2 linked regions of the Drosophila melanogaster genome follow. Changing the gene in region 2 together with the main gene of any one other region gives a genetic interaction. Each region holds a gene or a part of one and is shown on either strand. Other genes may lie near its edges.

Region 1 (4,953 bases), on a different chromosome or scaffold from region 2:
TAATTTGATTCGCTATTTGAATCATAAGCACATTGTCATGACTAGAGGGGCTATTGTACGCTACAATAGACAAATCATAATTTTAACAAGTCAAATACGCTGTATAATATAATATATAAATACAATAATTTAATAGGCCTTAAAGAAATGCACCATCAACTGACGGCATCTGGCATCATCTTCAATCAGCAAAATTTGTAGAACTATTTCCAATTCATGGTTTTCCTTCACATTTATGTAGGTCATACTCACTTTTTGGGAATGGTCGAGACATAGGGCATGAGCACCTTGTCCACAAACGAACCGAAACCAAGATGGAAATTGTTGGTGATGCGTTTCATGGTCTCGGACAACTTGTCGCCCAGCGTAGACAATTTGGCCTTGTCGTCCTCCATAGATTTGGAGAGATCCATCAAGTAGTAGAGATCCACCGGATATCCCTCCGCCTGGGAATAGCTAATCTTGATGTTGTGTTTCTCATCTAAGGTGTATTGATAAGCAAGTAAGGGATTAGTTTGTAGGTCACATGGATGATGCAATCGTTTGCTACTCACTGACGCGCAATGCGAGTCGCATGGACTGCGGTTGGATTTGGACAATTTCGCCGGCAGAGTACTCTTCGTATCCGCTGGCGGAACTGGATCCCGAGGAGCTCTGCGAGTAGAAGCTCGACGAGCTCGAACTCGACGAGTAGGAGCTTGAGCTGCTGCCGGACATGGCGGAGCCGCCGCCACCAGCCGCCAGTTCAGCTTTGTATTGATTCGTTAGTTTGTTGTTCACTAGAATCTGCTCAACTGTTATCGGACTGTAGGCGAACTCCTCCGGACACAGTGAGCTGGTGTTTTGGTAGCACCGCGACTGGCCCTTAAAGTCCGGCTGCATGCACCAGGCGCAACCCTCTGTCTGGATGCAGGTGTGACACTTTTCCTTCGATGCACATGTGCTCACTGCCGTCAGTTTGGCCGCCTTCTGGGCATCCGTTTGTCCAGCGATGGCGGCCAGTATTGCGATCATGAGGAGGGCCAGCTGGCACCTCCGGTTTCTCTCGAGGATCATGGCTTTGGCGGTTAGCGGTTGGTGCAGGTTGTGGATGATTCGGGATGCAGGAGGATCGGATATCCTTGGATGTGCCAGGTGCTGTGTGTGCTCTGTCTCTGTCGCTTCTGTGCGCCGGCTGCAATGGTAAGTGAATTAAAATTGTTGGATTTAGCACTAGATGTTAAGTAAGGGGCAGAAATTATTATAAAAGCCATTCCTGGTTCACTTATATTTCTAATGCTACATATTTTATATTATTTTTTTTTATATGCCTTAATCTTTCATTTATTTTTAAGACACAATTTGATTTCTTCGATTTCGCTGCAATTTTTACGAACGCCGGTGTACGTAAAAGTCCAGCTGCTGACTGCACTGCTTGTCGAGCACTGCTTTCTCCGCGTGCCCTGCTTTTTTCTTTATTGCAACAACAAACAACAGCAAATGGCCGCACATCTGTCCCCTTTTTTTGTTGTTTCTTTCGCTCTACCTTAATGTTTAATTTTATTTTCTCATCAACTTGGCCAGATGACTCATCTCACAAACACACACACACACCAAGCGATTGATGTACGAACTTGTGTGTGGGTGTGCGTGCCTGCGTGCTTTTGTTGTTTTTTTTTGTTGGCCTCCGAAAAGAAAAGGAAAAAAGCGGAAGGAAGAGAGCTTTCGATAAACGTCAAATGCAATGCGAATTACTCATTCGAGCACGTTCCGTTAGCACGCTCTCTCGCTCTCTTGGCTCCTGGCAAAATGTAAACAAAGGCCGAACGAACAATGAGTGGTCATTGAGTCAGCTTCGCTGGGTTTCCTTTCCGCCTAAAGCCACATGAATCACTCACTCCAAGCCACTCAAGACTCAAATCAAAATTCCATATGCACGGAACGGAAAAAAAAGGGCTGCAGATTACGTATACGTATGGGTGTTGTGTTGGTCGGCTATTTTTAAACGCCCACGCACACACAACACAACGAACACTAACACACCACAGAGCTTGATTTGCAGCAGATCGTGTGCCGAAAGGAAAACAAACTAAAAACGACTAAGCCCATGTTTATATACCCTTGGATTGAATAATTTCATTCGATTATCATTTATACACCCAGTCACAGCATATCAAAGTTATGAGTTGTGCACTTAGTAGTAGTTTTAATCAGTTTTTTAGCTAGCAAATTCGTAATACTATAAACCGCCTGAGTAAACAGCATCTGCAGCGCATAGTTTCAACCACGGATGGACGCCCACAGCCATTGGGCCAAAAACGAGGCACATCTGGGCCGCCCACATGTGGGCGTACTGGTTAAACCAGCGGCGCGCAGAGGATTTCATTTTTTTTATTGTTTTTTTTTTGATAGCTTTGGTAAAATTGGTTTTTACTTCCAGTTACAGTTGGTTTCAAATTCGGTTGGCTGTTTATAAAGTGGACAATTACCCCGAAAATCTGGGCAATCCCCTGACAAACACAAATTCCTGCTGCTGCCACTGAGCTCTTGATTTTTGTACGCTCTTTTCGCTTCTGCCTACGTACTCTACTCGATTTTTAGTTCGAGTGCAAGATCTCCGGGGTGGGGAAGTTGCACTGAAAAGGGAGGGGGCGTAATCAGCAATTGGCGTCGCGAAGTCGCCGATATGCACACTCAAAGAAATAAATAAATATGATGAATAATAATAACAAAAAAAATGAAACGAGTGAATGTATCGTGAGGATTCATTATTTTTTTTAGCTCAACAAACAACCCACACACAGATACGGCGTTCGGTGTGTGCGTGCCTGTGTGTCGTCACTGCGAATGAAATCATCGAAAAAAGAGGAGATAAAAGTAGCGCTTCGATATTGCTTCCTCTTTTTTTGGGCAAATGCAGCCCGGAATCCATTGATTTCTTACGTAATACCCACTATTTCACCCGCTATCTGATTAATCGCAGCACTTTGGCTTAACTTTCGCTGCGTTTTCGCTGATAATTCGCGATATTAATTTCCATCAGGGCGGCACTTTTCTTATTTTGATTTGCCTTCTCGCACACTTGTGGAGTTCCCACTCACACGCACACACTCGCACACTAAACACTAGCACTGTGCACACACGCAGTTATTACAATTACTTGCCACCGTTATTCGCTAGATCAGCGAATTTAACTCTTATCGGGTGACACGAAAAACCAAAAAAAAAAATACAATTCGACTGCAGAAGCAGCAGCTGAAGGCCGCCAATTGGTGTCGGGAATTGGATTTGGATTAAATTAATATTTACTGCTTTGCTTTGTCCGCGGATCTGGTCTGTTGTTCAGTGTTACCAGATGGTGTCAGCAGGGGGTGGAACAACAGTCAATGTTCTTTCGATATTTGCCATCCGATGTTCGCCAGTGTTGTTAAATAGCTCTGGTCACACCGAGCCTAGGAACAGTGTTGCACAGTTTTGGAGGACTGTGTCTCCGCTAAAAGAGACATTTGTGCTCGCAAACACAATCCGATAAGTAATCGAGAAACACGTAAAGGAACTCTGGTTATCGGAGTCACTTATTGCACGATAGTTTCAGACAAAAACGCCTGCTTATATCGATGACAGCCTTGTTTTTGTTGCGCTTACGTTACGAAATTAATGTAAAGTAGCCGACGAATCTACGTTCTACCAGTATAAATGGATTAAAACTAACAACAGCATAAGTGTAAACTGCTGGTGAATTTCCCAAATAGCCATATGAAAAAGCTAAAAGTACGTGCAAATGGTTGAGAAAAGGAGAGAACGAAAGCCACTATGAGTTTGCGAGAGTATGTGTGACTACTTTGCTCTCTGGCTCTCTCTATCACACACACTCGCACAGAACGCTCTTCTCACATGCTCTCTCTCGGCCGGTAGCTCTAGCTGTCCCGCTCTCGATTTATCAATAAAAGCAGTGCGTTAGAGCGGCATAGCCGCATGTACCAAGCGCGTGCGCCTCGTGCCCGTCGGCTGTCCATGTGTGCGTGTGTATTCGCATTTTCAGTAATTTCGAAAAAAAATTTTGTATATTTGATGGCGACTCAGAAGAAACTCGCGCGTTTGTCGAAAAATCGTAGCGCGTACGTATATATCGGTGTGTAGAAATTACTAAAAATTGTGGTAAAAAATGGCAAAAATTATATAAATTTGTGTTCGAAGTGGAGTGCTAATTGCGGGGGATCAGATGCGAATGGAAAAATGTTGAAATTTATAAGATTTTAGCGCCAAAAAATGCATTTGAAAAATGTGAGACTTCAATGGACATGACAAATTTTTTTTTTCATTTTTTTCGGTGGTGGAACAAAAGCGAACGAAAGAGGAGCAAGAAGCAGAAACGTTCGTCAGTGTGTGTGCGTGTGTGTGTCGAGTGAGGGGGCATGAGCATGAACGTGTGTAGTCACCAAGTGAATAATATTAACAAATAAAAGAAGAAAAAACGAAAAAAGAGGAATACACACGCAGAAGCGCGCGAAAAGTTTCACTCGAAATGAGAAAAAACAAAAGCAAAATATACTAGCGCTAGTTGATTTTCGCTAGCAAAAAGAAACCGACGTGCACATTGAAAATCTATAATTTTGTCGATTTTGTTATTGTATTTTTTGATTTTGCGGTTTTGCGGCGCCGTCGGTAACGTTAGCATACCGTTACGTGGCCTACGTAGCGTGGTGACGTACAGAAGACGCTTACGTTGTGGGTTACGTTACATTTGTCGCTGGGGATTTTACTCTTTCTCCCTCTCTTTACGCCACACTCATTCTCTGGCGCGCGCAAATCCAAAAATCTCGAGAAAAAAAATAGTGCCCGATGTGACCAATATTTTTTGTTTTTATTTTTACAGTTGCAACTTTTTAACAATCGTGTACAATCTGTATGTTGTATATGTTCAATTCAAAATTCAGCAACAATAGCAACAACGCAATTCAGCAACAACAACAA
Region 2 (5,388 bases):
AGTTGTTCGGAATCGTAAATGGAACAAACGCTCCTCTCGAGTTATAAATATATTTGGGAATATACCTATGCCATCCGTATGCCTAGATGATCTGTCCACCGTTTTGAAGGTGAACTCTGCAGGATTACATAATGCGGACTCTGAGCAGCAGCATCAGGAGCAGCCCCCTAATTCCCCTCGTCCCCTCTCAAATAAATGCACGTAAAACGGCAAGCAAATAATTAAGTATTAGAAATGTTCAGCTGGGGAGAATTCCGCGGAAAGTGCGATGGCAAAAACTACAGCATGTTGCAGTTGTTCCCAGCTGGCCAGAAGCCTCCAAGAGAAGCCAAGAGTTCTCCTCCAGACAGGCTGACGATTGCCTAGAAAGACAGCCGCACTGGAGCCAGCGGACTCCTACTGCCGGTGGAGGAGAAAACGGCGGAGAAAGAGGGCCTGGATGGCTGCAGACGCTGAAGAGCCCAGCCTGCAGCCAACTAACCAATTAGTAAGCGCTGCACAGAACGCGTCTACAATTGTGAGAACCTCAGACCAGGCTTGCAGGCCAACAAGTCAACAAGCCAAGAAGCCAACAGCCAGCAGGCCGTGTGAGTATGATGAAATGTCAGCAGGACCAGAAGCTGCATCGAAATGCACTCGGAGAAATACTTAGCAAACAACTAAAACCAAATTACACAATAAAAAAGTGTCACAGAGCTAGAGATGCATATGTCATATGACCCATCTGTAAACCTAATCCATATAAAATACGGAATTATTAGGAATGCGTGGGGATCATCAAACTTCATCTTTATTTATTGTTCTTTCTTTTCGCAGTCTTGGGGAAATGGGAATACAAGTGGAAGGCATCATTCAGATTCAAGTGACCCAAGTGGCATCCGTTTTCCCGTAGTGTCCAGAAGACCTGGTGCCCGCTGCGTGGATCGATCCTTATATGATCCGCTGGCAGCGGCAAACGTTCTATTTTGACAGTCATTATGATTAATTTAAATCATTAGGCAGCCCGGGCAGGTAGACAAACCATCGAGCTCCTATATTCCATCTAATTAAATGCGAGAGGAGCGGAGCTGCAGTTGGCTGTGGTCCTGGTCCTGGTGCTTGATCGGAGTCGACCTCGGAGTCGGAGTCGTGGAGCTGGACACGGGACCTGGACTGGCTTATTCGCGGAAGAGACAAGCTGGCGACAACGACACCGATGGCTGGAAAAGGCAACGATGACCATTTGCAGCTGGGGAATGCATCATCTTCGATCGCGGATCGGGGCGCAGTGAGTGTATCGATTTATCTGCGCTTACTATATACATATCTGCTGCTATCTGCTAGTCGCTGCACGTGGCCATGCCCACTCCGCCCCTTTGCCCATTCCGCGAACCTCTATTTAAGGACATGGCGAAATACTCGTGCTCCTGTGTACAAGTGGGCCCACCACGCAAATCCTCTAGAGCATTCTGACCATATTGGCGGGGCTAAGAAATTCCTGGCATAGTTTAAGTGTATCGCTTTTTGTTGCTGCGCCCGGGCACTCAAGATGCCCGCAAAGCTCAGCCTGCGAAATGTCGCAAAAGAAATTACAAAATCAGCAATAAGAAAATCAGAAAATCACAAAATCAGAAGATCACAAATTAACTAAATTAACAGCGCTGATAAGGCGAAACGCCACGTATGTAATTACCGAACTCAACCACGAGTTTTCAAGGGGAGGAGCCAATGAGCCACCCAGCCATATGAATCCCAAATCCACGATCTATGTGTGCGCATGCGCAGCGAATGGGTATGCATATGGGGGCGTGGCCATCTAATTAATTAAGCCATAAAGCCAGCAAAATGAACGACGGCAGCAGGAAGACGCCGAACGGGGGTGGGGATTGGGTCGGGGAATGGGGGATTGGGGTTTGTTTTTATGTACTCCGTACTCTTCGCGTTCGAAATCGAAGAGAGCGCGGCGCTCTTAGGAAAAGAGGAAACCGGTTCGCCCAAGTTTGGAATATCGAGCGAACATCGTTGGTGGAAATACGCTGAAGTTTATTAGGTATTTGCACGCCATCTGAAGAACAACGAACGCCAGCTATCGATCGCAAGTTTAGCCCGTCGAATCGTTTCGAATTCGTATTTGGAATGAACCACAATAAAATCGCCACAAATAAAGTAAACAGTCCAAACAAGTGCCTAGCGACAAATAAGCAAACCAACTGCAACGCATACGGAACAAACAAAAACACAAATATTTCCCATAACTGCACTAAATCTACGAAGTCGAAACAAAGTTAGGCGTATTTTTTTTACCAGAAACACTTAAACAATTTTTACAAAAAACGGATATTAATGCAATCAGTTCGAGACAAGCAGACAGCAAGCGGAAGACTTAAGGAGATAACAACTTATAGAGGCCATAATCAAAGGAATAAAGCACCATCAGCCAGCGATGAGAAGGAACGTCTTCAATGATAAACCTTCGAAAACTTTTAGAAAATAGCAAACATCCCAATAAACCACAACAATTATAAAACGCGAGAAAGGATTTGGTAAATCATCTAAAACCAGTTCAACAAACAACACATATAGTAAACATTAAATATTAAATCACAAGTTTTAGAAGGCAAACAAAGATAAAAACTCTTAACACCAGTTAAATAAAATATACTAAAAGAACTGCAACCAAAAAATAACATACAATTAAATGAAATTAAAAGCCATAAAGAAACTTAAAGCCATTGGAAACAAGCCATAAAAGCGGTCCAGAACCTAAATATTAAACACAAACCAAAATTCAAATTCCGCGCCAAACGACCACACTGCGCAACACACGAGCGCTGCATCCCTGGACTTCAGCCGCATTCCAACACTGCAGGACTGTCAGCTGTCAGTTTTCCTGTGTGTGTGCGCGCGTAAGTGTGTGCGTGCACTTAAGAAACTTAAATTCGCGTTCTTGGCCAAAAAAAACCCGGGTTTTTAATAAGTTATAGCGTTTTCCTCGACTGAGAACTTGGCCCCCAGGCAGACGGGCACAAAAACCGCCCCAGAAACGCGCCCGCCGCCGCCAAAAAGGCCGAAAACGCCAGCGAAACGCGCGCGTTGAGTGTTTTCTGTGTGGTTTTATTTTTGGAATATAAAGCGATCTGATCTGAAAAGTGTGCCGCGGCCGGATTCTAGATATTCAGATTCCCAGCACCCGAAACCCAAACGCAATAATAGACGCGCGCGGTGCCTTGGATCTCTACGGCTCCACGGTGGAGAACTTTTACCTCAGAATGGATCCGACGCGAGGTGACTCGCGGTACAATCTCAACTACTCGATGAGTAGCATAGGGCTGAGCCTGGCGGATCCGGCGGACATGTACGGCAACCCGGCCCTGGGGGCGGGCCGCCCGCCCTCCGGTGGCCTGCTCCAGAACATGGGCGGCGTTCCGCCGATGCAGCGCCCCAATCCCGCGGCAGGAGCACCCCCTGCCCCGCAGTGCCAAACGCTCCACAGCCCACAGCACGCCTCCCAGCAGCAGCAGCAGCAACAACAGCAGCAGCAGCAACACCAGCAGCAGCAACAACAGCAGCAGCAGCATCCCCAGCAGCAACGCGGCCTTAAGCGCTCCGGCAGCGACTGCTACGAGGATCACCACCGCTCGTCCGGCGGACTCACCCTCCAAGGACTGGACAACGTGGCCAGCGGAGCCGTCGACGACAGCGTAGACAACTACAACCCGCTGCCCAACAAGAAGTCTCCGCCTGCCAACGGCAAAAAGACAAAGGGACGTGTCAAAATCAAAATGGAATACATCGACAATAAGCTGCGTCGCTACACGACCTTCTCCAAGCGCAAGACGGGCATAATGAAGAAGGTAAGATCGCTGGAGCACCCCTACGCCATCCCCATCCCCAACGATATTTTCAACCCAACCCCGAAACCGAAATCGATCCCCATCCCAATCCCCATTCCAGCCACGATTGGCGCTGCAATTGGGATGTTGACATCGGGCCACGTTTCCAGCGCATGTGCAATTAATAAATGCTTCAGGGATTCAGTTGCGACGGAATCCAGCAGTTCCCCCACATCTCTGGCATTGTTCTGCCTCCGGAAAGAGCGAGGATTTATTGTCAATTGGCCATCGGCACAGTGGTCGGGATAGCTGGCGCACAATAGGAGAACCATCTCGGAATATCAAGTACCCAATGGATATATCCAACAGTTAGACCATTTGTGTACATTACTCGTCAGTTCAAATATTCAAATCTTTCTCTTGTGTCCATTACCAATTATTAGTTCCACTTGGAAGTATGTTTATTGGACCAATACAAATTCTGCTTGGAAATTGCTTATAGGCCACCTTATGTTGGGATCCCAAACCTAATGCTAAACAATTTGATTTAAGACTCAAAAACCCGAACCACTGTGCCCGCGAAGTACCTCTGCTCATCTCTAGAACAGTAGCCGCAGATCCTCTGCTTTTGGCCAGATCGCGTCTGTTTGGCCAACTGTTGGCCGCTTTGGCGGCGTTGTGTAAGCGCGGTAGCCCACGATTCCGCGTTGCCTTTGTTTTCGGCTTCATAAAATGTTAATTTGCCGCCGCAATTGCATTCAAAGGAGGCTCCTGCCCACGGAGCACTCCTCCCCCGAAACAATTGATGCGTGCTCCTTGTGGATGGTGGCCCACAAGTCGCTGCAACTGGCAACGTTGCCTTGGCATTTTCAAATGACCAATTTTCACACGCAAACTTACATAATGCCACTGCATTAGCTCCTGCTGCTTTCCATCGATCTGGGGGCCGTATATGAAATTTTTCACATTTCTGAAATAGACTTCCCTGGCCACTAGCTGAACCAAGCCCCGATCAAAATCAGACAAAAAGCATCAACATCGCGGCGCTAAATCACGATCTCAGCACGATCTTTGCCCAAGACACAAAATCTTATGAAATATTTGACCCAAGCAGACCAAAAACAAAGACGTTGGAGCACTTAAATTTAAAAGGGGAGATTTGGGAAAACGTTTAGCTTGTTGTACGCTAGAATGGCAATAAAATGTCAAGTATAAACTAAATGTTTAATAAGTTTAATTTATTTACTGAAGTTTATTTACTTTCATTATTAAGTCGCAAAGTAACTTATGATTCTTGAATTAGAGGAAGTGAGCAACCCAAACCTGTTAAACTGTTCCTCTTTACCCAATCTCAGTTGATCCCGAAATGGTGTTTCCTTATCGGTGAGGGTATCCAAAACATTTGACCCCTGGGACGTGGATTCTCGGGGCCGAGCTTATGACAGGCGCACGCCCGGGACAAAAGGCCGCTTCCATAATATGCGTTCCAAAAAAATATCGTTTTGGTGACTTTGATGCGGTCCCTCATCGATGTCCAGCCGGCGGACAGTTGACAGGCAGACAATGGGATTTTGAC

What was found. A genetic interaction does not mean that the proteins touch.
Region 1: of bs (region 2) and mys, changing one enhances a phenotype caused by changing the other (phenotypic enhancement), as found in Drosophila melanogaster (4 studies listed by BioGRID).

The regions. Positions count from the first base shown.
Region 1 is NC_004354.4:8,060,061-8,065,013, reverse strand, and holds the start of mys (myospheroid), read right to left. Parts: upstream 3,370-4,953; 5' UTR 3,289-3,369; exon of another isoform or gene 2,934-3,288; intron 1,175-2,933; 5' UTR 1,057-1,174; coding exon 555-1,056; intron 482-554; coding exon 253-481; intron 1-252. UniProt on the Drosophila melanogaster protein: Integrin alpha-PS1/beta-PS is a receptor for laminin. Integrin alpha-PS2/beta-PS is a receptor for Tig, wb and Ten-m. Contributes to endodermal integrity and adhesion between the midgut epithelium and the surrounding visceral muscle.
Region 2 is NT_033778.4:24,340,842-24,346,229, forward strand, and holds the start of bs (blistered), read left to right. Parts: upstream 1-2,019; 5' UTR 2,020-3,248; coding exon 3,249-3,833; intron 3,834-5,388. UniProt on the Drosophila melanogaster protein: Required for the formation of intervein tissue of the wing. Acts in a dosage-dependent manner to suppress wing vein formation and promote development of intervein cells. Might play a role in the proper formation and maintenance of the trachea.